Linked DNA regions of Canis lupus familiaris. The protein of the gene in region 3 purifies or fractionates together with the protein of the main gene of each other region. This does not show direct contact. Links are inferred from orthologs where the notes say so. Each region holds a gene or a part of one and is shown on either strand. Other genes may lie near its edges.

What was found.
Region 1: the proteins of TSEN2 (region 3) and TSEN15 purify together in Homo sapiens (affinity purification with mass spectrometry; 4 studies listed by BioGRID and IntAct, counting the BioPlex papers as one, with this or other methods). This does not show direct contact. The link is inferred for Canis lupus familiaris from reciprocal best matches to the Homo sapiens genes TSEN2 and TSEN15.
Region 2: the proteins of TSEN2 (region 3) and CLP1 purify together in Homo sapiens (affinity purification with mass spectrometry; 3 studies listed by BioGRID and IntAct, counting the BioPlex papers as one, with this or other methods). This does not show direct contact. The link is inferred for Canis lupus familiaris from reciprocal best matches to the Homo sapiens genes TSEN2 and CLP1.
Region 4: the proteins of TSEN2 (region 3) and TSEN34 purify together in Homo sapiens (affinity purification with mass spectrometry; 3 studies listed by BioGRID and IntAct, counting the BioPlex papers as one, with this or other methods). This does not show direct contact. The link is inferred for Canis lupus familiaris from reciprocal best matches to the Homo sapiens genes TSEN2 and TSEN34.

Annotation. Positions count from the first base shown.
Region 1 is NC_049228.1:17,239,897-17,247,318, reverse strand, and holds part of TSEN15 (tRNA-splicing endonuclease subunit Sen15), read right to left. Parts: intron 5,911-7,422; coding exon 5,829-5,910; intron 5,553-5,828; coding exon 5,417-5,552; intron 1-5,416. UniProt on the Homo sapiens protein: Non-catalytic subunit of the tRNA-splicing endonuclease complex, a complex responsible for identification and cleavage of the splice sites in pre-tRNA. It cleaves pre-tRNA at the 5' and 3' splice sites to release the intron.
Region 2 is NC_049239.1:38,995,222-39,003,143, forward strand, and holds CLP1 (polyribonucleotide 5'-hydroxyl-kinase Clp1), read right to left. Parts: upstream 5,366-7,922; 5' UTR 5,039-5,365; exon of another isoform or gene 4,990-5,038; intron 4,294-4,989; 5' UTR 4,272-4,293; coding exon 3,666-4,271; intron 3,274-3,665; coding exon 2,602-3,273; 3' UTR 2,147-2,601; downstream 1-2,146. UniProt on the Homo sapiens protein: Polynucleotide kinase that can phosphorylate the 5'-hydroxyl groups of double-stranded RNA (dsRNA), single-stranded RNA (ssRNA), double-stranded DNA (dsDNA) and double-stranded DNA:RNA hybrids. dsRNA is phosphorylated more efficiently than dsDNA, and the RNA component of a DNA:RNA hybrid is phosphorylated more efficiently than the DNA component.
Region 3 is NC_049241.1:6,156,676-6,164,097, forward strand, and holds part of TSEN2 (tRNA-splicing endonuclease subunit Sen2), read right to left. Parts: intron 6,888-7,422; exon of another isoform or gene 6,742-6,887; intron 6,684-6,741; exon of another isoform or gene 6,538-6,683; intron 2,359-6,537; 5' UTR 2,346-2,358; coding exon 2,157-2,345; intron 861-2,156; coding exon 779-860; intron 1-778.
Region 4 is NC_049222.1:103,777,542-103,784,939, reverse strand, and holds the end of TSEN34 (tRNA-splicing endonuclease subunit Sen34), read left to right. Parts: coding exon 1-122; intron 123-352; coding exon 353-596; intron 597-745; coding exon 746-1,003; intron 1,004-4,161; exon of another isoform or gene 4,162-4,305; intron 4,306-4,502; coding exon 4,503-4,690; 3' UTR 4,691-5,000; downstream 5,001-7,398. UniProt on the Homo sapiens protein: Constitutes one of the two catalytic subunit of the tRNA-splicing endonuclease complex, a complex responsible for identification and cleavage of the splice sites in pre-tRNA. It cleaves pre-tRNA at the 5'- and 3'-splice sites to release the intron.

The DNA.
Region 1 (7,422 bases), on a different chromosome or scaffold from region 3:
CAGACTGAAGGAAAAATATTTTCAAAAGAATATGTGATAAAGGAATATATATCAAACACATAAAGAACTTTTAACAATTTATTAAAAACACAACACAATCTTTAAAATATAAACAATAGATTTGAACTGACCAAAGAGGTAGAGATGGCAAATATGTACATGAGAAGATGCTCAACATCATTAGTCATCAGGGAAATACAAATTTAAAGCCACAAAGAGATACTTACTTACTTAATTGAATCTACTTACTTAATTGAATGACTGAAATTAAATAAACTGATCATCCAAAATGTTGCTGCAGTTGTGGAACAACTGGAACTTTTATACTTCACTGGTGGGTACAGAAAATAGCATAGTAGCTTTGGAAAATAGTTTGGCAGTTTCTTATGAAGTTAAAAATATGTTTATCATATGAACTAGTTAGTAATTCAGTGCCTAAATATTTACTCAGGAGAACTGAAGGCATACATCTACACAAAGATATATATGAGGTTTATAGTGCTTTCATCCATAAAAGCCAAAAACCAGAAACAATCCAAAAACTGGTGATGGTTAAATAAACTGTGGCACATCCATACAATGGAATACTACTCAGCAATAAAAACAGGCACACTACTGATATATGCAACAACACAGCAGAATCTCCATGGCATGATGCTAAGGGACGGAAGCATGACACAAAGGCTCATAATTCTATTGATAGGACACTCTGGAAAAGACAAAACTACAGGAATTGATGACTGAGGAGCACGAGGGAAGTTTGGGGGGGAACTGTGTATTGGTTACATGACTATATACATTTATTAAAAACTCACATGTCTGTCTCCCTAAAATGAGTGTTTTTACTGTATATAAATTTTACTTCAATAAGCCTAACTTAAAAAAATAAAAAGACACAATGAGGGTTCCTGGGTGGCTCAGTCCATTAAGTGCATGTCTTCTGCTCAGGTCATGATCCCAGAGTCCTAGGATCAAGCCCTACATTGGCTCCCTGCTTAGTAGGGAGTCTGCTTCTCCCTCTCCTTCTGCTCCTCTCCCCTGCTTCTTCTTTCTCTAATAAATAAAATCTATTTTTTAAAAAGGCACAAATAAACTACAGAGAAACACAAGGAAATTATTTTTATAAAAAGTATGAATAATAGTTACTTTGGTGGGAAAGAGAGGGTTATGCTTGGAATAGAGCACATAGAAGGGGTTTTATTTTATTTTATCTATACATTTTTATTGGGTGGTTTTCTGTATCTGGTTTTATTTTACAATAAAAGATTTAAGAATAAACAACATGTTGGCGAGGATGTGGTGAAAAGGGAACCCTTGTACCGTGTTGGTGGTGTAAATTGGTGCAGTTAGTATGGAAGACAGTATGAAGCTTCCTCAAAAAATTAAAAATAGAAATACCATAGGACTCAGTAATTCTACTACTGGGTATTTACCCAAAGAAAATGAAAACACTAATTCAAAAAGATATTTGCGCCCTATGTCTACTGCAGCATTATTTATAATAGCCAAGATAGGTAGACAACCCAAGTGTCCATCAATAGATGAATGGATAAAGATATGTCTGTGTATGTGTGTATAATATATATATATGTATATATGGTATATATACATATATATATGGTGGAACATTATTCAGTCATAAAAAAGAATGAAATCTTGGTATTCATAACAATATTGGTGAACCTAAAAGACAGCATGCTAACTGAAATAAGCCAGAAAAAGATAAATGCCGTATGATTTCACTTAAATGTGGAATCTAAAAAATAAAACAAACATAAACCCAGAAATAGACTTATAAATAGAGAACAAGCTGGTGGTTGCCAGAGAGACAGAGGTGGAGGAATGGGTGAAATAGGTGAAAGGGATTAAGAGGTACAAAACTTCCAGTAATAAATAAATCATAGAGTATGAAAAGTACAACATAGAGAGTTGACAACATTGACAGTTATAGTCAATAACATTATAACAACTTTGGTGACACATGGTAACTACATTTATTGTGGTGAACATTTTTTAATGTATACAACTATTGAATCACTATGTTGTGCCCCAGAAATTTACATAATACTATATGTTAACTATACTTCAATAAGAAAAAAAACTTTTATTTTTTAAATTTTTTTAAAGATTTTATTTGTTTATGATAGACATAAAGAGAGAGAGAGAGGCAGAGACACAGGCAGAGGGAGAGGCAGGCTCCATGCCGGGAGCCTGACGTGGGACTCGATCCCGGGGATCCAGGATCGCGCCCTGGGCCAAAGGCAGGCGCTAAACCACTGAGCCACCCAGGGATCCCCAAGAAAAAACTTTTAAAATGCTAATGAAAATAGAAAAAGAACTCTTAACAGCTATCAGACTTTGTTGTCTACTATGAGGCCTTGGTGCAACTCACTTAATCCTGCATTATCTTTTGGAAACAATATAGTATAAATGAAAATACATTTTTAATCTCAGCTTTTTATATGTGAAATTAGATAAAAGAAGTACCCTATAAACCATTCAGAACTTTAGAGCTGATGAAATGAGAATACACTTAGGAATGTACTTTGAAATATTATAACATTGTAACAAAGGCAAAATACTCTTACAACCACATGAAATAATCTACAGTATCACTCCTCTGCCTTAAGCCTTAAAGTGGCACCATCCACATAGCAGTAATTTTTGGTATTTTTTGTGGAAATCCAGGGCTCAACAGACATACTTTAGGTACAAGGAATTGTGTATACTGTACAGATTGTGCTTTGCACGAGAATACTTGGTACAAGTGGGTCTGAAATCCAGCTTATGCTACTTGCCAAGCCTTCAACCCTGGTGAAGAGACTTTGTTTCTTTCCTTCCTTCTTTTCCTTTTTTTTTTTTTTTTTGGTAAAATTTTATTATTTATTTGAGAGAGAGAAAAAGAGAGAGAGAGAGAGAGAGAGAGAGAGAAGCAAGCTCCCCACTGAGCAGGGAGCCTGATGCAGGGCTTGATCCCAGGATCCCAGGATCATGACCTGAGCCAAAGGCAGATGTTTAACTGACTGTGTCACCCAGGTGCCCCGGTATGTCTCTTTCTAATTCACTCAAAGGTACCCTCTGAGCTAGCTGTAGCCCTGTTCAAAGATTCCCCCATAAGCTAATACCTTCTGTCACACAATAGCAACGTAAAATGTCTGAAAAGCTTCTGCATCGTTAAGACGAACCACAAATAAGCACATTTAAATTTCTATGTCCTTGGTTACAAGCAGATTTGAGTCATTTGAGTTCCTTTTCTGTGAATTGCCTGTTTCTGTCCATGTTTTTTTGTTGGGTTGTTTTTCCTTGAGTCACAGAAGTTATTTATATACTATGAATTAATTATTGTCAGTTATATGTCAATAAATCCCTTCTTCTACTCTATGAAAACTTATTGTGATACTATAAACCCATAACCTTTAAGACAGCAATTTAGTAACAACCAGTAAAGAGGAAGGTGCAAATTCTTTAAGTCCCAGCCATTCCACGTCTAGACTTCCACCTTAGAGAAACTCTCATACATAAGAATAAAGATATACATATAAGACTATTCACTATAGTATAATTTTTAATAGCAAAACATTGAAATCAGTGAAGGCTTTATGATCTAGGTAATCTTTCCCACCTCATTTCCCATCCTCCCCTATTTTCCCATGAGTTCTATTTACTCATATGTTCATTAGCTGCCTCACCCAACATTATAAAGCACCTGCTCTGAACTAGACATGCTACAGGCAGGCAATCATGCTTAACTACTTAGTAGTCGTCCTGCTAAAACATGGTCTCTTACTAACTTCAGGAGGTTTTTCCTGTCCTTCCTCTGCTACAGTCTTCTATAAAGTACTTACTGGTGCTCCATTATCCTTTTATTCAATTACCTAACAATAAAATAAGTGGAGGCAGTCCCAAATTACACAGTTAATTAGGTCTCAGAACAAAGGAGAATTCTCTTTTTATTAGATCCATTCAATAATTACCAAAAAATGAAATAAAATTTATTTTCCAAGTCAACATTTAGTGCTAAGAACACTACTTTCAAGAGGATGCCTTAAATACCATGTGATCTCATTTATATGTGGAATCTCAAAAAAAAAAAAATTCATAGATACAGAAAACAGATTGGTGGTTGTCAGAGGCAGGGGCTGGAGAATGGGCAAAATGGGTTAAAGGAGTCAAAAGGCACAAACTTCCAGTTATAAAATAAATAACATATGGGGATATAATGTACAGCACGGCAACTAGTTTGTAACACTGCATATTTGAAAGTGACTGAGAGAGTAGACCTTTAAAGTTCTCATCACAAGAAAAATTCTGTAACTTTGTATAGTGACAAATCTTCACTAGACTTGTGATGATCATTTCATACTATATACAAATACCAAATCATTATATTATACACCTGAAACGTAGTATGTCATATGTCACTTATACCTAAAAAGGTAGTTGTCTTTATCAACACAGTATCTCCAGCACTTAGATCACTGACTCATAATAGTCACTCAATAAATGTTTGGTTAAGTAAAGACTAAAAAGCCTCAGCAATATTATCTGACAAATAGTGCAAGTGAGAGAGAGTGTCCAAGGCAGAAGCCACAGTCTTTGGTTAATGTCATCTCAGAAGTAACATCCCATCATTTTTGCCGAATTTTATTTGTTAAAAGCAAGTCAGCAAGTATAGACCACACTCAAGGAAGAGGAATTACGCAAGGGTGGGCCTACTATTAGTTTTGTTTTGCAGGGTTGATTTGGAGAACGTGTCATGAAATAAAGATATGTTTAATCCAATTCGGTGTAGCTAAGAGTTTTTAAAAAGATACCATGAACTGCAAGACATTTTCTTTGATTTCAAGTTGCATGTTAAGCACACTCTTCATCAACATCTATAGCAAATATAAATTGTATCAATTATTATGGTACATCTTAAAATATCTGTGTTTCAAGTGTAATGGTCTTGCTTCCTTATGAGAATGAAAACATTGTTTCCTTTAGGATAGTATTTCTATTTTTTTTAATTATTTTTTAAATTTTTATTTATTTATGATAGTCACAGAGAGAGAGAGAGAGGCAGAGACACAGGCAGAGGGAGAAGCACGCTCCATGCACCGGGAGCCTGATGTGGGATTCGATCCCGGGTCTCCAGGATCACGCCCTGGGCCAAAGGCAGGCGCCAAACCGCTGCACCACCCAGGGATCCAGATAGTATTTCTATTATATATATCCCTTCTCTGAAAAAGTACTGACAATATAGTGAGTACTAAATACTTGTTAAATGCTCATATTGAACTACTTCCTCAAATAACCAAGAGTAAAGCTATGATCCCTGTACCTTACATTCCTTTAAAAATATATTACTACCTCAAATTTAATGGTTCCTAGTAGAAAGGAACTAACCTGTTAAAGACCAAAATCACCTGCCCACCTGTTATGGCTGAGGGAAGCACTGATGGATGTAGGCACCACAGTCTGTAATCCTTCTCCTTCTATCTCAGTACCGACAAGGCAGATGAGCTGAAGATCTGGTAATCCAACACAATTTACTTCATGCCAACTTTTACCTGAAAGGGCATCATTGAATGGATAATGTTTATCAAAGATAAAAGATAAAATTCTAAATTTCTACCTAATATTCCGCTGAACAAACATCACCCATAATGTTATCTTGTCTTTACTCTTCCAGTATTTTGTTATCCAATAAAATTCCCAATGTAAATGAATGAATAAGTTACAAAACTGACAAAATTAATAGCAAATGCATAAATGCCATATCCCAACCCAACTCCCCATTTCCCCACCATAGCCCCAATAGCAAAACAATAAAACAAATAACTTACTCTCCATGAGGTCCAGGTAAACCAAGAATGCTATATAAACTTGGCTGGCATCTCCTATATCTAATTCCATCATTTCTAAATACTGGAAATCAAAAGGTAATTGTCAGAGAAGAATCTCTTAATATTTTCTTTCACTCAATCAACAACGATTCACTAAATATATATATATATATATATATATATATATAATATAAAGTAGAAGACTCTCTTCCAGGTATAATGTGAGTTAGAAGGCCTGATCTCTGTCTCTAAAAAACTTGTGTTTTTTTTTTAAAAGATTTTATTTATTTTATTTATTTACTCATGAGAGGGATCCCTGGGTGGCGCAGCGGTTTAGCGCCTGCCTTTGGCCCAGGGCACGATCCTGGAGACCCGGGATCGAATCCCACATCGGGCTCCCGGTGCATGGAGCCTGCTTCTCCCTCTGCCTGTGTCTCTGCCTCTCTCTCCTCTCTCTCTCTCTCTCTCTGTGACTATCATAAAAAAATAAAAATTAAAAAAAAAAAGATTTTATTTACTCATGAGAGACACAGAGAGAGACAGAGAGAGAGAGGCAGACACAGGCAGAAGGAGAAGCAGGCTCCATGCAGGGAGCCCAACATGGGACTCGATCCCGGGACTCCAGGATCCTGCCCTGGGCCTAAGGCAGGCACTAAACCGCTGAGCCACCCAGGGATCACCCCAAACTTGTGACTGTTAAGGTAAACACATGCACACTTCACAACTGTTGGGCAATTAACAACCCATGATGGTTAAGTGATTAAAAACCAGTGTGTGAAATAAAAAACAAAAACAAAAAAACATGACATAAGAAATCAGAGGAGCTCTACTGGGATAGCTTGGTTGGTGAATGTTTCATGGCAGAAGTGGACACAGATTGGGCCCTGAAGGGCAGATATGATTTGAGTGAATAGAGAAGACAGGGTAACGGTGTGGGAGTAGAGGTGGGTGTAGGCCACACATACTCAGGGCCTAGAGAATAGTCTATCTGCCAGGAGCACAGACACTTCTTAACAGGGTTTCTGTGCTAGCACATTAGTGAGAGCCACCATTTCCGTGTACTCTGTTTGCCTTTGAAGAAAGTCAGCTAAAATATCCCTCCTGGCTTCTGTCTGATTTGTGCTTGGGTCAGCACTGGAGAACATTCTTCAGTGGACTCCCACTGCAAGGGAAGCCTGAGGTTTCCCAGCTATCCAGCGACTCAGTGGGTAAGCAGGCCTAATGCAGACTTAGTGGGTAAGCAGGCCTAATGCAGAGGTGAGGCATCAGCAGACCTGCATGGGTGCAGACCTGCAGTCATCCTCTCCAGCTTCATTGTAAGTATGTACAGGGCAGGAGAACAGGGGTATTGCTAGTTGTCTTCCTCACATCTCAAATGTGTTTTAAAATAACACTGAAAAGGTAACTGGAGACCAGGTTACAAGGTCTTGACACCCAAGCTAAAAGCCTGAATTTTACCCGTAAAGAAACACTGAGGATTTCTAAGCATAATAGAACGAAATTAATGTTGCATACTATATACACTATTTCTTACATATATTACATAGAGCTTAGTACGTCAAGTGCTTTACAAATATTAACTGATTTAATCCTG
Region 2 (7,922 bases), on a different chromosome or scaffold from region 3:
GCCACCTTCAGCCTGGGCGGTCCTGCGTCAGGCTGCATGGAGCCTGCTTCTCCCTCTGCCTGTGTCTCTGCCTCTCGGTCTCTCATGAATAAAATCTTTTTAAAAATATAAATAAAAAAATAACAAATCCTCCCTTGACCCTACATCCAGCTCCCCCCACCTTTCTTAGCAAAGCTTCTTGTCCATAGAGATTATCTCTACTTCTTCAGTAATGTATTTCAATAGGACTCCTATTCCTACCATTCCAAAACTACACTTTTTTTTTTTTTTCAAAACTACACTCTTAAGGTCAACACTGACATCCATGCTTCCAGATCCATGGTCATGTCTCCTTTGCTAGTTCTCATTACACTTCACCTCTTATGTTTGGAGTGCCCTGAAAGTCCATCTGTCTCCTGATTTTCATTTACAGAGTCCCTGACTTCAATACTACTGTCTTAAAAAGCCATCTGTAAGCCAATAGTGCCCATGAATTTTCACCCCTAACTTCTCCAAGCCTAGCTTCTTGTTTCCATGTGTTCACACAGCATCTCCAGATGGATAACTGGTAGACAGCTAGAACTTAATACTGCTAAAGTAGAACTCTTGATACTCCCTCATCCCTGAGTGAAACTCCCTGAGTTTCCCCAATCTCATATCCAATCTAGTTACAGGAATCCGCTTTGATTCCACTTTCTTTTCCTCACCACTCCCATCAGCAAGTGCCATCTTACCTCCAAAAGATCCAAGGCAATCTACTCTCCTACTCCACCTCTGCTAGTCTAATCCCATCAATTCTCACATTGAAACTACAAGTCTCACATATCCTTGCTCCTACTCTTCCATCTATCATCCATATTCTACACAGCAATGATTTTTTTCAAAATCAGGCCATTCCTCCATTTAACCACCTGCTTTGCTGGAATATGTCACCCTAAAATTCATATATTGAAGTCCTAAGCCCCAAAGATAATGGTATTAGGAGGTGGGACTTTTGAGAGGTGCTTAGATACTATGAATGTAAAATCTTTGTGTGAGTGGGATCAGTGTCTTTACAACAGAGGCTCCACAGTAGATCCCTGGCCCTTCCTTCTACTATGTGAGAACATAGCTAGAAATAGGCAGTCTGCAACCCCAAAGAGAGCCATCATCAGAACACAACCATGCTGATGCCTTGACCTTGGACTTTCCTGCCTCCAAAACTGAGAAATCTGTTTATAAGCTACCCAGTCTGGCATTGTTACAGCAGCCTGAATTAAGGAATTAAGACACCACCCCTCTCCCATCCTTTGCCACTGCTCTAAGATTATAAGAGCCCTACATTATCTGGTCCCTATTGCCCCCTCCAGCCTCAATTTTTACCATTCACCCCTCAGTACACCACACCACCCTTTCCCTTCATCAAATACATCAATATTTTTCCTTTTTTAGGATTTTGAACTGTTTCCCCCACCAAGACGTTGTCCCAATTTCACACAGCCATTCAAATCTTAATGTGAAATGTGCTCAGGGGAGGCCTTTCCTGACCACCCGTTCTAATTAACCCTCCCAGTCACTCTGTCTCAGACCACGCAATTTTAACTTTACATAGCACTTACCTTTTTTGTCTGCTTATTCTATGTAAGCTCTGTAAGATTTTGTCTATCTTGTTCCCCATCTAGAATGGTTCCTGGCCAATAGCATATGCTCAATAAACACTTGTGGAAAGAATGAATCAAAGGGTATCAGATAATACTCAATAATCCAGTCTAAACTAGGAACACAAATCATTTGCAAGAAATCAAAGAGAATGGGGCTTTCTTTCCCAGCTTCTTACCACCCGAAAATTCAATTTACACCTTGACCTGGGGCCCAGTTCCAATCAGAAGGACAATAGGAAAGACAGCTGCAGCGGAGAGCAAATGAGCTATGTATGGAAAATAATTAGACCAGAAATCTCAATCCAAGTTTATCACCAGCCTCTGTAGCTCCTCAAAGTAAACCTGGCATTAACAGATTTAGCATCTATTTACCTACAAGGAAAGGAAAACCATTATAAAAATTCACCTGCTTGGCTCAAAGGTGGGCCCTTGGCTTTCTTTGAAGCATTTAGCAATAACTCACTTCAATAATGTTTCCATCATGCTTAGGGAGAAAAACAAAATTAAAAAAAAATTATACCAACTTCTGTGGTATGGCAAAAATATTTATTAAAATTTCCCAAGTTTGAACTTTACTAGAAAGAGGCCTTCTGATTCAATCTTTCATCTTGGATAAATGGAATAACAAGTACTATGTACAGAATATAAAGCAGTGATAATTTTTTAAAAAGTTCCTCCTAAAAATTAGTCCACCAAGTAGCATAGTGGAAAAAATACGATTCTCCAGGGCCTCGGAGAATACAAAGCGGCACCTTTGGTGATCCAAGAAACCAATTATGTTCTCCTGGTTCTTTTTGGTTCAAGATCAGAAGAGTTAGGCTCCCACCACCCATCTTAAGAGGTAGAAATATGCTTTCTACTAGTTCACTATTTACTCGTCTGTTTGGCCTCAACAGAGTCTCATACTTTAGCCCAACTTTTTTGCCTTTCATGATGGCCAGAAGATCTCGATGCCCCAGGCAGCAAGGCTTCATACCAGTCTCTACTTAAGATCCATGAACCGGATATCCATGATGAGAAGGAAGTTCTTAGGCAGTGGGCGGGGGGCTGGAGAGAGAACAGTAAACACCTGATGTTCCAGGTCCACACTGGTCACCACGATGAAGCCAGCCACACTGGTCTCAGAAAGGTTCTCCTCTGTGCCCTCAGCAGTGCTAACACTCAGAAGGTGGTGCACCATATCTCGTCCAGGTGTGACTGGTACTAGCTTGAGCTGATTGTCCTCCTGAGACATACCCAAAGGCAAACAGGAGTCTGGGATGGTGGGTGCCCCAACTTTGTAGATTTTCACATCTGAAAATTTGACATTGAAGGCATGGGGATAGAAACAGCCCCGGAATCCATAGAAATACTCACGGATACGCTCATCCCTACACTCCCGCCGGAAGTCTTTGGAGCGTTCAACCACACCCCCTGATTTAGGGAGCAGCACAGTTCGGACGAAGTGAGGCAGGTCCCGTTTTAGTTCATTGTACAGTCGTTCTTGATCCAGAACCACAACCACGTCTACCTCAAAGGCTGAGGCTGCATGCACCAGGGCCTGATACCCAGAACCCTTGACCCAGCCACAGGTGTTAATGACACAGCCACTCACAGAGGCCCTTCGGTTCACTTCACACCTTTGATTGAACACATCCGCTAAACGAGATGTAATCTGCAGAAGAGAGCATCAAGGTGAGGAAAGGAAACACAAAACGAAAGAACTCAATAGTTATGTAGAATAAGTGGCTATTAGGTACCAGAAAACAATGACATTCTTAATGGCTAAGGTTTTAACCCCATAACACAGATTTCGATTTTATGTTGCTTCTTCTGTTTCGTGTCCTAAGTAGAAATTTAGTACATTACTTAAGAACAGGGCCACAGGAATATTTAAGAACCTGAGATTGACATAATTGAAACTGTCTTCCAAAGTCATGTGACAGAAATCCCAGCTGAAAGGGAGCAAAGAAATGGCCATAGACAGTTTTAATTAGCACACTTTTGCACAGCTTCCTACCCTGACAGCAGCCCTTCCCTCCATCCCACCTTGACTCTGGCTCTGACCTTATTATAAAGCTTGATGTTGGTGCCAGGAGTGGTGGAGCCAAAATGATACACCAGAGGGGCCTGGATAGAGAATCCCTCTTCGACATCTGCTGGCCGCTCAATGTAGAGGGCCCCCATGGTACCAGGGATGGAAACAGACCCCTGGCCCACATCCAGCTCCACATAAGTGGGACGGCGGCCCAAACGCACTGCATAGTTGAGCAGCAGACGGCACACTGTGGACTTGCCCACATCAGTGGGGCCCACGACCATCACCCGGGGACCTCGCTCTTCTTCCTTCTCCGCCTGCCTCCTCATCTGCTCCAAGGCTGTGTGAGTGTTGAGATAAAGCAACATAGGAGTGTCCTTGGAGACATAAGCCACCTCGGTGCGGCCACTCAGCTGTAAAGAACAACCATGCCAAGTGAAAACAGCCACCTTGGCACCAGCATCAAAGGTGAATTTCTTGTTTCGGGTCAGCTCTGTGCCAAATATTTCTGCCATGCCAGCCAGCAGCTCCAACTGAACTGACTGAGATGCCTCCACCTCAAAGCGAAGTTCTGTTTCTCGCTCTAGTTCAAATTTAGTTGTTGGCTTCTTGTCGTCATTGGCTTCCTCTCCCATCTTTTCTGTGTGGTTGCTGTGCCTAGAACACAAATTAATTACCAGACTGAAACAGGAGTTAGGACACTACTCAAAATCCTCCCCTGGATATTTCTCCTTACCCTCATTCTTCCCCTTAGCTGTGATCACCCCGTCTCACTATACATTTGCCTGTCTACCCCCACTGGAATGTAAGGGTTAGGCAGTCTGGTTTGCTGCTGTTACTTCCAGTATCTAAGGCTCGACAACCCATAGGCACCTCATAAAAACACCGACTGAATAAATGTATACTTTTCATACATTAGAAAAGTATATCTACACATTGACCTAAGACTTGATTATATCACTTCCATCGCTCCTTTCGTCACTCTATTGGGATACTCGACTTGAAAAGGAGACAAATACCCTCCCAGCTCTCTTAGTCCACAAGAAAGGGCGTCTGCAAACTGAATGCAAAGCAGAGAACCCTGGGTTCGGACTTAGGAAATAGCCTGGGGTGAGGCACCTAGCTGGCTGGCTCAGGGGTTGAGCATCTGCCTTCCGCTCAGGTCGTGATCCCGAAGTCCAGGGATCGAGGCCCACATCTGCTCCCTGCAGGGAGCCTGCTTCTCCCTCCGCCTGCGTCTCTGCCTCTCTCTGTGTGCCTCTCATGAATAAATAAATAAAATCTTAAAAAAAGAAAAGAAAATAGCCTAAGAACCCGCTCAGCATCTGCTACTACTGTCGTTAGACAAATCACCTGATCTCCCCAAGTGTTGTGGGGATCGGTGAAGGGGAAGAAGAATTACTTCGTCAACTAGAAAACGCCGAGGAACCGAGGAGTGGTGAACAACGATTTCCGACTGCGAACCGCAAGTGTAAGTCCAGCATCTGTCCCAGCACCCCGAGACGCCGAAACGTGCCCTGGTCCCAAAGCGCCGGCCGTTCTCTCACCTGCACAGCCGCAAACACAAACCGGCAAACCGAGGAGCCCCCGACAGCGCCTAAACCCAACGGCACGCCGCGCCCGCCCGGATCCACGCCGGAAACAAAGGCGGTTCTGCGCAGGCGCGACGCAGGAACAGTGGGAACAGTGGCCGCGCGATGCCTATCGGGATCGGTAGTTTTGCCGGAACTGCCTCCAGCGGCGGAGCTCGCGCAGCCGCGCGGCCTTCTGGGAGTTGTAGTTACAAGATTGTTTTGATCGTGACGCCATAGGTGGGCGGGGCGGCGGCGTCCTTGTTTGCGAAGACGGCGAGCCGCGGGTAGGATGCGGTGACGCCCCGCGCGAGGCGGGGACCCGCGGAGGAGCCAATGGTTGCCGGGGCGCGGCTGGAGGGGACTCTCGCCCCCGAGGTTCCAGCTCACCTGCAGCCCGGGAGAGACGGCGGGGGGAGGGGGAGGCGGGCCGGCTCGCCGTCTGGGTCCCACGACCGTCGGCTTGCCTGGTCCACAAGCCAGGAGGTCGCGGAATTAGCGGAATCCCTCGGAACCCCTCGTGGGACCCGGGGACGTCTGGGCTAAGGCAGGTGGAGGAGGCCGGCCTGGGTGTCGTCCCCTCCCTGACAGCGCTTGGCACCGAGACGGCGTTGCAATTTATTTTTTCTTAATATTTTATTTATTTATTCATGAGAGACACAGGGAGAGAGAGAGAGAGGCAGAGACGCAGGCAGAGGGAGAAGCAGGCTCCATGCAGGGAGCCCGACGCGGGACTCGACCCCCGGTCCCCAGGATCACGCCCCGGGCTGAAGGCGGGCGCTCAACCGCGGAGCCACCCAGGCGTCCCTACAATTTGTTTTAATAAAACACTTAAACGTCCAAGAATTCCTTCCAGTCATTACCCAACAACGTCTCTCCTCCGGATCGGGGATTTCTTTGGGGGGCTCGGTTTCCCTCCCTGAATTCCCAACAGTTGTACAAGGCCGCCCACCTACCCCGCAGGCAGCAGTTGGGGCCGCATCCATCAGCCTCGCGAGCTTGGGCTTTGGAATCTGTGCTCTGCTCGGCCACTTTCTCGCTGTGTGGCTTTGGGCAAATCAGGCTAACTCTCTGAGACCCAGTTTCTTGTCTGTAAAACAGGGATAATAACAGTACCCAACCTCTTAAAGTCGTTTTAAAGATTGCATGGATGACTCATGTAAAGTCCTAAGCACAGTGTAACACAGTGTAACACAGCATCTGACGTTAGCTTTTGAGTTTTTATTATAGGTTGAGGAGGGGGAGCTCTTATAATGCCATCCACATGCACAGCAGTTTCAATTTTTTATTTTTTTTAATATTTTATTTGTTTATTCATGAGAGACACAGAGAGAAAGGCAGAGACACAGGCAGAGAGAGAAGCAGGCTCCATGCAGGGAGCCCGACGTGGGACTCGATCCCGGGTCTCCTGGATCACGCCCTGGGCTGCAAGCGGCACTAAACCGCTGAGCCATCTGGGCTGCCCAGTCTGAATTTTTTAAAGCCCTTTCCAGTATTTTCTTTCTCAGCCAACGTGTAAAGTCAGTGGTATGATCTCCCAATTTCAAAGGAGGACAGAGACAGGGGAAGGGATTTGCCCATGTTAGGACTCAAACTCAGGATTTGGGAGTCCGAGTCCAGTTATCATGATAGCAAACAGGTAGTGTTAGATGCCAGGTACTGTTCAATGAGCTTTGCAGGTGTAAATTCATGTAATCCTCTCAGGAACCCTATGAAACACATACTATAATTGTCACCCCCTCTTTATAGATGAGTACTTTCTTCAGTCCGGCTCTCATGGTTACTCGGGATCAAGAAGCCTGGGACAATTTTCTGGGTTGGCTCTTTCACACCCACTCTTACCTTCACACTCATTCTGTCAGCAGGCAGTGCCATCCTCACTTTCTACGGCTTAGTCCTTGATGGTTTACTTTAATTCATTCGTTCACCACACATGCGTTAGTTCTCCTGTGAACTCTCAGGTATCCCGTAACCATTCACCATCCTTCAAAAATTCAGTTCCAGGCTTCTGTTTGCAAATTCCCTCCCTGAATGAGCTCAGCCTCTCCTCTTTCCCAGCAGTCTATTTCCCAGATCTCTTTCTTCGCCTCCACACTCTCTCCCTTGAGGCAATTTCTCCCAATTATCTGAAGGTCATCTTTATTTGGCTTATTTGTGCAGCCATCTCAAGCTGAATTTAGGGAAAAGAAACCTCTCCCCGCCTTTAGACTATCTCCCATTTCACTTATTTTTAAATAAAGTAATGTCTACCTTCAATATGGGACTCTGACTCACAGCGCGGAGATCAGGAGTCCCATACTTCACCTAGTGAGCCAGTCAAGGCGTCCCTCCAACTCACTTCTTTATTTTTTTTAATTTTTATTTATTTATGATAGTCACATCACACAGAGAGAGAGAGAGAGGCAGAGACACAGGCAGAGGGAGAAGCAGGCTCCATGCACCGGGAGCCTGACATGGGATTCGATCCCGGGTCTTCAGGATCACGCCCTGGGCCAAAGGCAGGCGCCAAACTGCTGCGCCACCCAGGGATCCCCTCCAACTTACTTCTTAAACAGAGTGAGGGCACAGTATTTACAGCATCTAGGCTTGCCTGCACTCCTTTTCTCCCTTGTCATCTTACACCAAGCATTCCTGCCATCTCCACACCCCCCAAAGAAGACTGTCCTCATGTCTTTTTCATTCTCACCAACTAAACCCTTGATCATTTTCTTCCTG
Region 3 (7,422 bases):
ACTTTTGGATTCTTGCCAATCTGATTGCTAAAATAGTATCTTAGTGCAGTTTTAATTTGTATTTTTTTCTTACAAAAATCCTAAGGATGTTTTAGTCTGCTGGCATTGGTTATGCAATCACCATGAGACTTCCACAGACTAATACATGAAGGTAAAATATTTTTAAGTTAAATATGGCAAGTCAAGCAAGTAAGAACTACACACATTAGCTAATGTTTTAACAAATTCATTATTACGGTTATCGTTATAAATTCTAATTCTAGGGCAGCCCCAGTGGCTCAGTGGTTTAGCGCCGCCTTCAGCCCAGGGTGTGATCCTGGAGACCCGGGATCGAGTCCCACGTTGGGCTCCCTGCATGGAGCCTGCTTCTCCCTCTGCCTGTGTCTCTGCCTCTCTCTGTGTGTCTCTTATGAATAAACAAAATCTTTAAAAAAAATAAAAATAAATAAATTCTAATTCTAGAAATAAAAAATGTAAAACTTATTTGCATATGGTACCTTCTGCATGCATAGTACTCTGCTAGTCAACGTTCAACAACAGAAAAGCCTGAATAATACTTTTGATGACTCCAGAAATTAGATAGAACGTGTTTTCACCAAACATCAGAACCCTATTCTGGTTGCTAGTTTTAGGAGTAAAATCGTCATTGTGCATGTTACTTCAAGTCTAGAGAATTTTCCTATAACATTTTCAAGAATTTTCCTATGTAATCTGAAATGTAAGATCAAAGATGAAAGAATATAATTTGCCAAAAGGACAGAATGAGGTACAAGGTTACCTTTCCACTTAGCAACGAGCTTAGGATCTGAAATTGTGAAGTTTGGACGGCTTCTAGACAGGATACCTTTTCCAAAATAACCCTTCCAGGAAAAGAGAAAACAAAGTTAGTTCATGTTTAGTTCGCCAATTTTTTAGCTGAGGGAAAACAACTATTTGAGTTAACAACAGATTTGTTCTATTTTTCATAGGTTTACATTTTCCCTCTGATTACTTAATGATTACTAACGAAGATCTTAGCATTCATCTCTGATTGTTTGAAGAGTTCTAGTAAGTTTTCAGTATACCTTAAGTGCCTTATAACTAAGCTCAAGGCAATGGGACAGGTAGAGGCAGGGCCTTAGCCTAGACCCCCATCACCAGGAATCAATGCCACATGCTGTATTCCACCTTGAGAAACTGGCTACAACATATATATTTTATATAAAGTGTCTAGAAAGGCACATTTTAGAGAGGAAGTGGATCAGTGGGTGACATGGGCTGGAAGTGGGAACAGGGATTAAGTGCAATGGTACTTGCATTCCCTGCTGGGAATCCCCCATACTGGACCATGATGGTGTTGCACAACTCTATGAATTTATTACAATCACTGAATTGCACATTTACAATGGGTGAATTTTATGACGCTAAATTATACATCAATAAAGCTATTTAAAAAATGCCCCAGTTGGAGCACTTGGCTGGCTCAGTTGATATAGCATGTGACTCTTGATCTCGAGGTTGTGAGTTCGAGCCCCATGCTGGGGGTAGAGATTACTTTAAAAAAAAAAAAAAAAAATATATATATATATATATATAATAAAGTAATGAACTGGCTATGGACCAAAAAATAAAATAAAATAAAATAAAAAAAGCAAGCTATCAATCTCAACCTGAATCTATCATTGGTGGAAAACAGCAAAAACTGGAAATTGTCCTTATCTAAGAAGAGGTCGCCAAACAGATGAGAGCACAGATAACAAGTCAGAGTACATGCTGAAGCCTCATCTGTCCCTGAGCCAGAACAATATGCCATTCTGTGTTTATCTCTGGAGATGGAATGGGAGTGGGGAGTTTTTACCCATTACATTTCTGTAAATTGCTTGGCATATTTATGAATATGCATGGTTTCTGTAACTTAAAAACAAGAAAGGCCAATGCACTGATTGCAGTTTATTGTTGAAATGTGGGTTCATGGGTTGGGGAGCCTTCCTCATCAGTATATGGCTTCAGGGCACCTGATTCAAATTGTGTAGTTCCTCTCCTACATGGGATTGAATGGCAATAAAAGAATATGGGTCAATTATGGTCTGATTTTGGGAGTGAATGGGAGGAAACAAAAAGGATACCCTGGCTCAGGACTGTCAGGAAGTAGCCATGCCAAAGCCGCCAGTACTTACTTTCCCATAGAGCTGCTCCATATCTTCTGTGTTCCTCACAATTACATTGTTGTTTATCATCTCTGCTGTGAACACTTTGAAATCTTGCTTAGGCCCACAGTCTTGACCAAAAGGGATGGGCAGTGGAGACTCAAAACTCTCATATACTCTTCTTTTCCGCTTTGGGGCACGGAAAACTGCTTCTGCCATTTCTCAGGGGTAACTGTTTTTTAAAGAGTATAATAAGGAGAAAGAAACAGATAGCCAATCCATAACTATATTGATCAAAAACAGGGGTGCATTTATCTCTAGGCTCAGAAAATTTTGTGGTCTGTGGGAAAAATAAAATATTTAAAAGCAGTGAACTAGAAGAAAGAGTAATGAGAACATTTTGTACAAGCACTACTAATCCATCACCTAAAATATCTCAATTCTCACAACCATGCCCAAGAAGTCAGTGGCAATATTTCTAACTAGAGTGGACAAGACTGAGGCCTAGTGTCATGCCCAAAGTCATCATGCCATGCAAAAGTCTATGGACAGCAAGCACAATAGGATTCCTATTAGGATTACTCCCATTCTTTCACTCAAACAACAGGCATTTACTGAGTACCTACTAGGACCTTCTGATAATCAGAGATGCTGGGGATATAAAGATAAGGCCAAAAGAGACACTGTCCTCATAGAATTAAATCTATTCAGTATTTCCTTTTCCAAAAAAGGACCTTAATATATATTCTAAAGGCCATTCATCTCTCCATGTTTAAGGTAAATTAATAACAACAATGACAGAAACAGTTACCATTTCAGGTCTGTTATGTACCACCACATACTAGTGGTGAAGAGCAGGAACTCTAAAGCCAGAGTGCCAGGACTGGAATTAGTTTTACTATGTCCTGTGTGATGCTGGGCAAAAGCTGCTTAATCTCTCTATGCTTTGGTTTCCTTATCTACAAAATAAGGATAAAAACAGACTCTACCTTAGAGTTAAGACCCCCCATAAAGGGCCTAGAAGAGTACCTGGTACATAATGAGCATCATGTGTGTATTTGCTTTAATTATTATTATGGGGTGAGCACTACCAACTCTGGTTTACAGGTGAGGAAAATAGGTTCAAGTTAGAGAGACTTTGTAAAAGGCCCCTTGGGATGATCCCAGGTCTGCTGAATTCCAAAGCCTCCACTCTTCTCCCTGGGTTCTGCTGCAAGGCAGCATCTGACCCACTTTGTCTGAAGGCCCACTATTTCTCAAGGTTAGGAGCTAAAGGATTCTGGATAATTATGGGATTACTTAGCGTGCACTCAGCACCCTGAGGAAGTAAAGGAAGCCAAAGCCAGTACCTCTCCCTTCCAGGCCTTATATTCAATCTGAGGAGACAAAACAAGCACATAACACATACGAAAGCAAACTGAAGGTACCACAACAGGCTGCAATTCCATAATGGCTAAAGGAAGGAAATGAAGTTGAGTGCATTGTGCGATAAAGAAACAAAGCCCCAGCAGATACATCTAACTTAGGAAAACTCAACCACATGCAAGGGGGAGAAAGTGTACACAGTGCAAGAGTCTGGGCCAGGCACTCCACTCTTCCAACAGACACCCCAGGATGAGAAGGGAGGCTTGAATCTGCTGCTCCTTCGTCCCGGGTTCAATTTAAGCTGACAGCAGATCTGGTGTTTGAAGATACAGTGGAGCCATATTACACGTTTCATCTACATGGATCCAGAAAATGAAGTAAGACTGCTTATTAAAATGCCTCCTGCACTTAATACCAGCATCTATTGGGCAATGGATGTCACCAAGCCTGAAACAGCCAGTGACAATGGCCAAATCCTGAGGAAGGTAAGTGGTTGTATGGGTTTATGACCATTAAAAAGAAATAAAATATCTTGCCTTGCCCATTGTGTGATACCTTTATCTGCCCTCTCAAAGAAACGGAGGAATTAGATGAGGACAAAGGAAAACACAGACCAAGGAAGAGTTATAGAAATTGATAAATCAAGTACAAAGATAACTATGAAAAAGAAGAATCAGCAAGTTGGAACCTTCATAGACTTGACTAAGTATGCTAAGCAGCAAAACACTAGAATTTAATTTTTAAGTAAGATCCCTCAAGGGAATTACATACTGAGCATGACTCATATATACATTATATATACACACACACACTGCTGTAAAGCATTCCTAACAAAACCACGTATGTTGCACATTAACGAACAATTAAGAGATTTTCTTCCAAGAGCATTTTAGCTAAACTGTCATTTGCCAACTTATCCTTCAATCTAAGCCAATGATTGCATTTAGTATTCAACAGAAGAAACAGCAATTTATTCTAACACTTGATGCCGTGTCAGCTTTTTTGAGGCAGATGATGCAATCTAGTGAAAAACTTTCTAGGCATTTCCAGGAACAAGTTGGACTTTTATGAGATTTTTCACTTTTATAACTTAACTTCTGGTTAGGATTTAACTTGTATATGCTACATTTGGAATTTTAAGAAAAGAGAAAATGTTAAATGGCTAACTTCAAGAACTTCCAATTAAATTATCTCAAACAAGTGACAATGAAGTTATATTTTAATTTGCCTAGTTTGGAATTTTCCCTCAGACTGATGCTATACTCTTAAAAATACCAAGAATGAGCTAGGACACTTGATGTCAAGAACTTTGTACTTCAACCTGTATGTGTGTGACAGAAAGGTTCCTGCCACAAAACATTGTTTTCCATTAAACCTCAAAGTCTGTGATCTGGTGTTACTTTTGCCCATGTGGCAGAACAGGCTTCAAGAATTTGGCTGATAGGTGGGGCAAGATGGCGGAAGAGTAGGGTCCCCAAGTCACCTGTCCCCACCAAATTACCAAGAATTTGGCTGATAGGCCTCCAATATATGCAAACCTGCCATCATTATCATGTGACCTTGCACAACCCACTTAAGCTCTCTGAGCCCTGTTTCTTCATCTTCAAATTGAACAGCACTGGAAAAGTCTGGAAGTCATTCAGATGTTAAATGCAAAATACCCATATAATTCCAGTCCTTGGTACAGATACAAGAAAACTGAAAACATGTTCATGCAAAAATCTGTACCTGAATGTTTACAGTAGTATGATTTATAATAGTTAAAAAAAGCAGTAACAAACCAAATGTCCATCAACAGATGAATGGATTAAAAAAATTGTGATGTATCCATATAGAATGGATTATCAGCAACAAAGGAAGTGTTGATATATGCTACAGTGTGTATGAAGCTTGAAAGCATTAAGTGAAAGCAGTCACAAAAGACCACATATTGTATAAGACCGTTAATATGAAAAGTCCACAACAGCAAATCCATAGAGACACAAAGTAGATTAGTGACTGCCAGCTGCTGAATGAAGGGAGAAATGCGGAGTGACTGCTAATAGGTATGGATTTTTTTTTTTTTTTGAGGGTGATGAAAATGTTTTAAAACCAGAGTGCAGTGATGATGTGATGGCTGACCAACTCTGTGAATATACTAACATTACTGAATTGTACATTTTACAAGGGTGAGCTTTTTTTAGATTGATTTCATTCATTCATTCATTCATTCATTCATTCATTCATTCATTCATGAGAGACACAGAGAGAGAGAAAAGCAGGGACATAAGCAGAGGGAGAAGCAGGCTCCATGCAGGAAGCCTGATGTGGGACTTGATCCCAGGACACTGGGATCATGCCCTGAGCCAAAGGCAGACTCTCAACCACTGAGCCACCCAGGGGTCCCCTACAAGGGTGAGTTTTATGTATGTGTAACGGTCTCTCAATAAAGCTGTTATTTTAAAAATTCAGTAGGACAAACCAAACGATCTTGTTTCATGGTTTTGTGAAGGAGTTGTCTTGTACTAGACTTGAAAGGCAAAGAGGGGAGAAAGGAATGAATTCACTATTCTCCATATCTGCAGTAGGCATTTACGACACGTTTCTTTAGTGCCATGATAGGAGAACAGCATAATGTCAAGGTATGGCATGAGTAAATTGAGAAGAGGTAATCATCATCCATGGGTACAACATGCTAGGCACTGACTGTGCTATATGGTACACAGATGGGTACTGGCATCCTCTTTCACAAACAAGGAAGAGAGGGCCAGTTATTTGCCCAAAGCTCCACTGTACAGAGACACAGCATTGCAAGAAGTCTGGCCTAAAAGACCACCCATGTCTGAAGCACACACACAGATGTGTAGGTATGACTGAGCCAGTTGTCAAGGGGTTTGGAACATGAAAGCTGGTTTAGACTTGGAGTTGATGCAGAGACTCTCAAGCAGGGAACACGACTGAAATAAGATTAATTAACCTGGGGTGGTATACAACAGTGGCTCTCAAGCTTGGCTGCCCTTAGAATCACCTGGGGGAAATCTCAAAACTCCTAACGCTCAGAACTTACCTGCAATTACATCAGAAATTCTGGGGTGGGACCCAGGTGATCTTAACATGTAGTCACACAGCTGCCAACTACTGGTGACAGAATAGCCGATTCAAACTCACTCCCAACAGCTCCCTAGGGGCCGAGTGCTATGCACCTGTAAAGGATGTAGCTTTTCCTTTCCCAAACGCTGGGGGCGGGGGCGGGGGCCGGCGGCATACTTGCCTCCAAATACAAGTAGCATTAGGTCCATTTACTTTACTATGAAAAATAGGGCTTGGGCAGCCGGGTGGCTCAGCGGTTTAGCGCCGCCTTCAGCCCAGGGCGTGATCCTGGAGACCCGGGATCGAGTCCCACGTCGGGCTTCCTGCGTGGAACCTGCTTCTCCCTCTGCCTGTGTCTCTCTCTCTCTCTGTGCCTCTCATGAATAAATACAATCTTAAAAAAGAAAAAAAAAAAGGGCTTATGTTTCCCTTGAACACACAAGCTAACACCGTTCAGGTGCTCAGCAAACGTTTATTCCAAGCAAAACAAAAACGGGAGAGGGAACTCCATTTAATTTTCCGACCCCCTGGAAGGACCTTGCCAAACAAACCTGGTTAACACCTCCTACTCAGTAAAGCTCACCTTCTCCCAATTAAAAAATGTTTGAAGCTCCAACCGTGTACCTCCTGGGCTATGGGAGGCAAGGATGAAAGGGACAAGGCGAACAATCCAGCCCCTGGGGAGTTTTCAAGTTAGGACGTGAGACTAAGCCACATAAACAAAACCTAAACCCCTTGAAGGCTGTTGTGAGGATGAAGGGGGTAACTGCGAAGGCGCCTCGTACCGGGCCTGCCGTGTGCAAGGTGTTGGCCAGACGGGGGCTGCGACCGCCACGCATGACCGCACGCAAGCCAGAGTGTG
Region 4 (7,398 bases), on a different chromosome or scaffold from region 3:
GCCAGAACTCGCGCCTGGGCCTCCCGCTGCTGCTGATGCCCGAAGAGGCGCGGCTTCTGGCCGAAATCGGCGCGGTGACCCTGGTCAGCGCCCCGCGCCCGGATCCGCGCCAACACAGCCTGGTAAGGGGCGGACGGGGTGGGGGCGGTGCAAACGCTCAGCACGTGGAGGCAGGACAGCCAGACTGCGGGTCTCTGCGGGAGGGGTCTGGGCGCCTTGGATTCTGGAGACTGGGATCCCCAGGTTCAGGCTTTGGGTTAGGGAGGAGTCAGGGAGCCAGGGAGCCAAGGTTCCTGGCTTCCTAAGGCAGGGCAGACTTGGATCCTGGGATTCCCGCCGCTTTACTTCTCAGGCTCTGGCATCCTTCAAACGCCAGCAAGAGCAGGGCTTCCAGGAGCAAAGCGCCCTGGCAGCGGAGGCCCGTGAGACTCGTCGTCAGGAACTCCTAGAGAAGATTGCAGAGGGCCAGGCTGCGAAGAAACAGAAGCTGGAGCAGGAATCGGTGGCCAGCGAGAGCCAGGAGGCCAGTGCGAACCCGGCTGCCGCAGAGAGTGAGGCCGGTGCGAGCCAGGCTCCTGGAGAGCCGGAGGAAGCAGGTGAGGGTGGGAGTGGAGTCCACGGACCAGGAGCAGGGGAGAGGGAGATCTTTTGGGAATCCTGGCTGGGAATCTAGGGCCTGGGGCTCATTGGGGGATGGGAAGACCTGTCCTTGGATGCATCAGACTCTTGCATTCACCTCCCGCAGGTTCCTCCTCTCCTCAGCCAGGGCCGTCAAATGGAGTGGCCCCTTTGCCCAGGTCGGCTCTGCTGGTCCAGCTGGCCACTGCTAGGCCTCGACCTATCAAGGCTAGGCCCCTGGATTGGCGTGTCCAGTCCAAAGACTGGCCGCATGCTGGCCGTCCTGCCCATGAGCTTCGCTATAGCATCTACAGAGACCTGTGGGAACGAGGCTTCTTCCTCAGTGCAGCTGGCAAGTTCGGGGGTGACTTCCTGGTCTATCCTGGTGAGTTTTGTTGGGACCTCTCCTTGTGAAAGAGACCTCCTTTTTCCTCAAAGCCCTCCCCTTTTTTCGCAAGCCTGCCACCTTTTTGTCTTTTCTCAGCCTCTGAAACCCATGGAAGGACAAGAACACTTGGGAACCATTTGAAGGGCAGTATAGTAAATCTAAGCACTTTCTTTGATCCAGAAGTTTCACTCAGAGACTCTTAGATATGTGCATAAAACGTACAAGGAATCATCACTGCAGGATTCCTTACGGTAGTGAAATATTAGAAAGCAACCAGAATGATTATTAATAGGTTAGTGGTTACACACTGGTGTTAGTTGTCAGAGTAATGTAGGTCCATGTACATTTATGAAAAAATGACCAAAGGGGGGGAAAAAGAACCACTTGTCGGAAACAGGTACAGTAAAAAGCACATTATGTTTTCTGTTGTGATGCAGTTATGTACGTGTTATTTGAGTAGCCTTAAAAATTATGCTCTAGGGGCATCTGGCTGGCTCTTCCGGTAGAGCATGCGACTTTTGACCTCAGGTTGTAGGTTCCAGCCCCATATTGGGTGAAGAGATTACTTAAAATCTTAAAAAAAATCCGTATGGCTCTAGTGAAAGAATATGAGAACTTATGGTGAAGTATGGAGTGGAAAGTAACTAGCAAGCAGAAGAAGGCCTGAAAGAACGTACTCCAGCCCAAGTACAGTGGTTACCTCTGAGAAGGAATGTGCATTGGGTGTAGGTAAAGGAGACTTTCAGTGTATTAGTTCATTTTTGAATTTGTAGTAAGAATGCCTTTATTGTGTAACTAAAAGGTTAAAAAAGTAAGTCTGCAGGCAAATCACCTTTTTTTGTTCCCCCTGAGAACGCAGAAGGATATAAACACCTGATACATAGTCAAATCTTAGCTGTTGGTTGGAGACCGACTGTGTCTTCTGCACACGAGCTGAGAACCTTCATCTCTTCTCAGACCAAACACTCAACTGAGGGACTGACTTAGGACAGACAGTGTACCTGCCCTGTGCTCTACAGAACCACTGTCCTTACTTTGCTGCTGGTTTTTTGTGACTTCTGTACATAAAAGGTGATTTTGGTTTTGAAAATGAGTATTCAGCTTACTGAACGTATGAAGGCTAATATCTAGTTTCTAAGCTTTCAGTTCAGGTTGCAAATCTTTCTTTCCAATCTAGCAGGTTTTTGTTTTGTTTTGTTTTGTTTTGTTTTAATTCATGAGAGACACAGAGACACAGGCAGAGGGAGAAGCAGGCTCCACACATGGAGCCCGATGTGGGACTCAATCCCAGGACCCCAGGATCACTCCCTGGGCCAAAGGCGCTAAACCACTGAGCCACCCAGGGATCCCCATCAATCTAGCAGATTTTGAGGGACTGTTTGTCCCTGTGTGATCCTACTCACAGAAGGCCTTATGTGGTTTTCAGCGTTAGAAGCTGCATTTTAAGTTTTAATGTATTTCTTTTCCTTTTTAAGTTGTGTGGTTTTCTGGTTATAGAACTTGCCAAAAACTCAGATCTAATACATTGCAAATGGGCTGAGTTTTAAGTTTACATGTTCTAATACGGTTAAGAGTCTTACTACAGGTTAAACTACAGGTTAAAATAAGGTTAAATCTGGGTCACCTGGGCAGCCTGGGTGGCTCAGCAGTTTAGCACCACCTTCAGCCCAGGGCGTGATCCCGGAGTTCTGGGATCGAGTCCCATGTCAAGCTCCCTGCATGGAGCCTGCTTCTCTCCCTCTGCCTGTATCTGTGTCTCTGTCTCTCTCTCTCTCTCATGAATAAATAAAATCTTAAAAAAATAAATTTGGAGCACCTGGGTGGCTCAGTTGGTAAAGCACCTGCCTTCAACTTGCATCATGATCTCAGGGTCCCGGGATTGAGTCCTGCAGCAGGCTCCCTGCTCAGTGGGGAGTCTGCTTCTCCCTCTCCCTCTACCCCCTGCTCATGCACGTGTGTGCGCTCTCTCTCTCTCTCTCTCATAAATAAAAAAAAAATTTTAAAAAGTAATAAAATAACAATGAAATAAGGTTAAATACACCAACAACTTAATCACACATTTGAAACTGGCCCACAAGGCTGACCTGTTAGGGTTTTTTTTTTTTTTAAGATTTTATTTATTTATTTATGAGAGACAGAAAGAGAGGCAGAGACATAGGCAGAGGGAGAAGCAGGCTCCTCGCAAGGAGCCCGATGTGGACTCGACCCAGACTCCGGGATCATGCCCTGAGTCAAAGGCAGATGCTCAACCACTCAGCCATCCAGGCATCCCTGACCTGTTCTATTACATCAATATTTCTAAAACAATACATACTTGATATATATGAGATATATATAAAATCCTTATTCCCTGAAGATGAAAATCTTCAAGGTCTGAATCCCTTAAATATTTCTAACAGTAAATCTTCCCAATCTTAAAAGACACTAAGTCTTTTAGAACAGTTTTGGGGTACCTTCTCAAGTGTTTTGATGCTTCCTTCTGAGCCGGCAGAGGTGTCACACCAGACAGTGATGCCTGGCTCCTGGCTGTGTTCTGGCTGGAAATCCAGCTAACAGTCCTCTCATGTGGGATATCTCACCGCTTTGCTCTTGTAGGTTTACATTACCTACCCCTTTATCTTCTGTATGGTACCCCACTCTGGTTCCTACTCTATTTGATCAGATTTACCTAATTCAGGGGCAGACCACAGCCCCAGGTCAAATGAAGTCCAACAGATTTTAAAGGTAAAGTTACCAGAATGCAGCCCTGTCCATTTGTTGACTTACGGTCTGTGGCTCCTGTTGTGCTACAGTGCAGAGGTGAGTACCTATAACATGGCCCACAAAATGGAGGATATTTAGTGTCTGGCCCTTTTCTGAAAAATTGTGTTAGCTCCTTTATCGCATCTATTTATCACTCCATCCTTTTGTAAATTCTTTTCTTCTTTTACTCTGTTAGAGTAAAGTAAAATTCTTGGATATTCACATGACATGGCTTTGACTGACTTTGTGGTCCTTGTTCTTACATCACGACAGTGATATATTCAATTAATTGTTTTGTTTTTTGAATACAATTATGCCATACATCTGTGGCAGTTTGCCCCACTTGCCCCTCCCCACGCGGGGTATTGTTTATTTTTCCATGTTGGTACATTCTTTTCATTTTAACAGCTATAATCGCTTCTCAGCCTTTTGGCTAAGATCAAGTGCATTTAAACAGCTATATTATATTTCGTCTTATGGAGAGACCACAAATTTAACAAGTCTGTGGTTTTGATTGTTTCCATTTCTTAGCAGTTGTAAATGATAACAGAGTGAACATCTTCATAGATATATTTTAGTGTCACTATCCTTATAAGTAAAAAATGCCAAAAAGTGGAACTGCTAGGTACAAGAAGAGCTATTTGGAAATATTCATAGTGATTACTAAAATGATTCCTGTCTCCTACCTTTAGACATTCCAGTGTCTTCTAGCCTTCTACCACTGGGAACTGCTACATGTCTCTCTTTTACCCAGGTGACCCACTTCGTTTCCACGCCCACTACATTGCTCAGTGCTGGGCTCCTGGGGACCCCATTCCACTCCAGGACCTGGTTTCTGCTGGCCGCCTGGGGACCAGCGTCAGAAAGACGCTGCTGCTCTGTTCCCCTCAGCCTGATGGTAAAGTGGTCTACACCTCCCTGCAGTGGGCCAGCCTACAGTGAACTCCAGAGACCCGTGGGGATGTGGCTGCATCTGTGGAAAGAGCCTTTCTAGATGGTCCCAAGCTCATCTCTGCAAATGGGAGGCTGTTAACCCTCCTACCTCTTTCTGCGGTTAGATTTTGACTCCGGATTTATAAACACTACATCCTTCTTATTTCCCTCCCTGTTTCAAAGCACTTATTGGCTGTGATATTTTTGTAGTTACCTATTTCCAAGCTGTGAGCTTCTTGAGGGTGAAGACTGGGTTTGATTCATCTCCAGTTTCTACAGGGCTTAGGGCCAAGAGGTCTCAGTAAACTTGTTGAATAAACGCGGAGTCTGTGTTTTGAATTCTGATGGCAATGGGGGGAGGGGGCAGTGTGGGTTTTTGCATTTGCTTATACAGAGGAGGGAATGCCTGGAGGAGTCCTGCTGCTAGTGGGTAGCCAGTGGGGCTGGGATTTATTTTTTAAGATTTTATTTATTCACGAGGGAGAGAGAGAGAGAGAGAGAGGCAGAGACACAGGCAGAGAAAGAAGCAGGCTCCATGCAGGGAGCCCGACATGGGACTCAATCCCGGGTCTCCAGGGTCACACCCTGGGCTAAAGGCAGGCGCTAAACCTCTGAGCCACCCAGGGATCCCCACATTAAAGGCTCTTAACAAAATCTACACTCTTTCATGATTAAAACAACAACAAAGAACAAACTGGGAATCAAGATTGCTTCCTTTACCTGATAAAGGGTCTCTATGGGGGATCCCTGGGTGGCGCAGCGGTTTGGCGCCTGCCTTTGGCCCAGGGCGTGATTCTGGAGACCCAGGATCAAATCCCACGTCGCGCTCCCGGTGCATGGAGCCTGCTTCTCCCTCTGCCTGTGTCTCTGCCTCTCTCTCTCTCTATGTGACTATCATAAATAAATAAAAATTAAAAAATAAATAAAAATAAAAATAAGCCCCTGAGCCACCAGGGCTGCCCAGGGGCTGGGATTTAAAACTCTTTCTTTCTTTCTTTCTTTCTTTCTTTCTTTCTGGGGTAGGGGAGTGGAGGGGGGGGGGGGGGGGAAGGGGGGAATGGACGGTGGAAGGGGAGACGGGGGAAGGGACGGGAAGGGGAAGGGGGAAGGGAAGGGAAGGGGACGGGGGAGAAGGAAGGGAAGGTGAAGTGGGGCGGTGGCACGGGAAGGGAACGGGGGGACGTTAAAGGGCAAATAAAGGGCCTGACCTGTGAATTTAAAGGACCGGGACTGGAAGTCAGGGGGGGGGTTCTTGGAACTTTTTCCTTTCCTTTTTCCTTTCCTTTTTCCTTTCCTTTTACCTTTCCTTTTTCCTTTCCTTTTTCCTTTCCTTTTTCCTTTCCTTTTTCCTTTCCTTTTTCCTTTCCTTTCCTTTCCTTTCCACCTGGTCTTTCTGAATCCAGGGTCTGCACTCTTCCCACCACACTGAACTTCCTTTAGAGAAGATTTTCACAGAGTGTTTCAGGTGCACACAAAGGCATAAATAAAAGTAACATGAAGAAAAGGCACATGAGTGTTGCAGTTTCAGGACAGAGGTTCAGGTGGGGAGGTAATGTCAGGAGGGACACTTGGGGCTGTGGAATGCTGCTGGTGGTTTTTTTCTTGGCCTGGGTGGTGTTTATTCAGGTGTGTAGCATTATTTTTTATACCATACGTTTATGATTCAGATCATTTTTTTATATGTGTGTTCTGTTCCACCCTTTCTTAAAAAGTGGAAACACATCCAAAGAAAATACACATTTGTGAGATGCCTTTCTGCTTGAAATATTGCTTGAACGTTATCAGTACTGACTTTCAATATTTACGTATATACTTTAAAAATGCATAGTTTGTTACATAGATTTTGTTACTGAAATACAGTCACATGGTAATGATTCTGGAGCTGAAAGTGTCTATCTCTAGTTTCCCAATGTCTGGGCTGCCAATTTCTTCTTTCTTTTCTATACTTCTCAGTAAACAAATTTGCTAGAACCTCATATTTCCTGTAAGCTTAGATTAATTTAAAACAGGACACTAATCCCTGCCTCATTAACACTCTGTTCTTTGTGCCTCTTTGATAACTGGCTTGCAAATCTATTCTCCAGGCTCTCTCTTCTCTACAACAAAGTACTTAGTTGACTCAGTACTGAGTACCTCTGTCTTGAGTCTTCCCTCAAAAATTCCTCATTAAAAACTTGGCACTTGGTGGGCCCAGTTAGTGGAGCATGCAGCTCTTGATCTCAGGGTCATGAGTTCAAGCTCCATGTCTAGGTCTACAGTTTACTTAACAACAACAACTTGTAAGGACTTCCACATGCAAAAGAAGAAAGAGAAGAAGGAAATGTAGACTTTATGCCCTTTACAAAAATTAACTCAAAATGGATCATAGACTTCAGTATAAAATGCAGAGCTATTTAACTCATAGGAGATAATAGGAGAAAACCCAGACGACCATGGTTGTGGCCGTGACACTTCAGACAGAATACCAAAGGCAGGACCAATGAAAGAATTGATAAGGTGGACGTCACTAAAATTAAAAACTGAGGACGTACTGCAAAAGACAGCTGATAAAAGACTGTCATCCGAAATATAGAAATAATTCTTAAACCTCAACAGTAAGAAACAACCTAACCAGGGGCACCTGGGTGGCTCAGTCGTTTAGACACCCCACTGGAGCCCAATGTGGGACTAGATCCCTGAACTCCAGGATCACACCCTGAGACAAAAGCAGAGCTTAA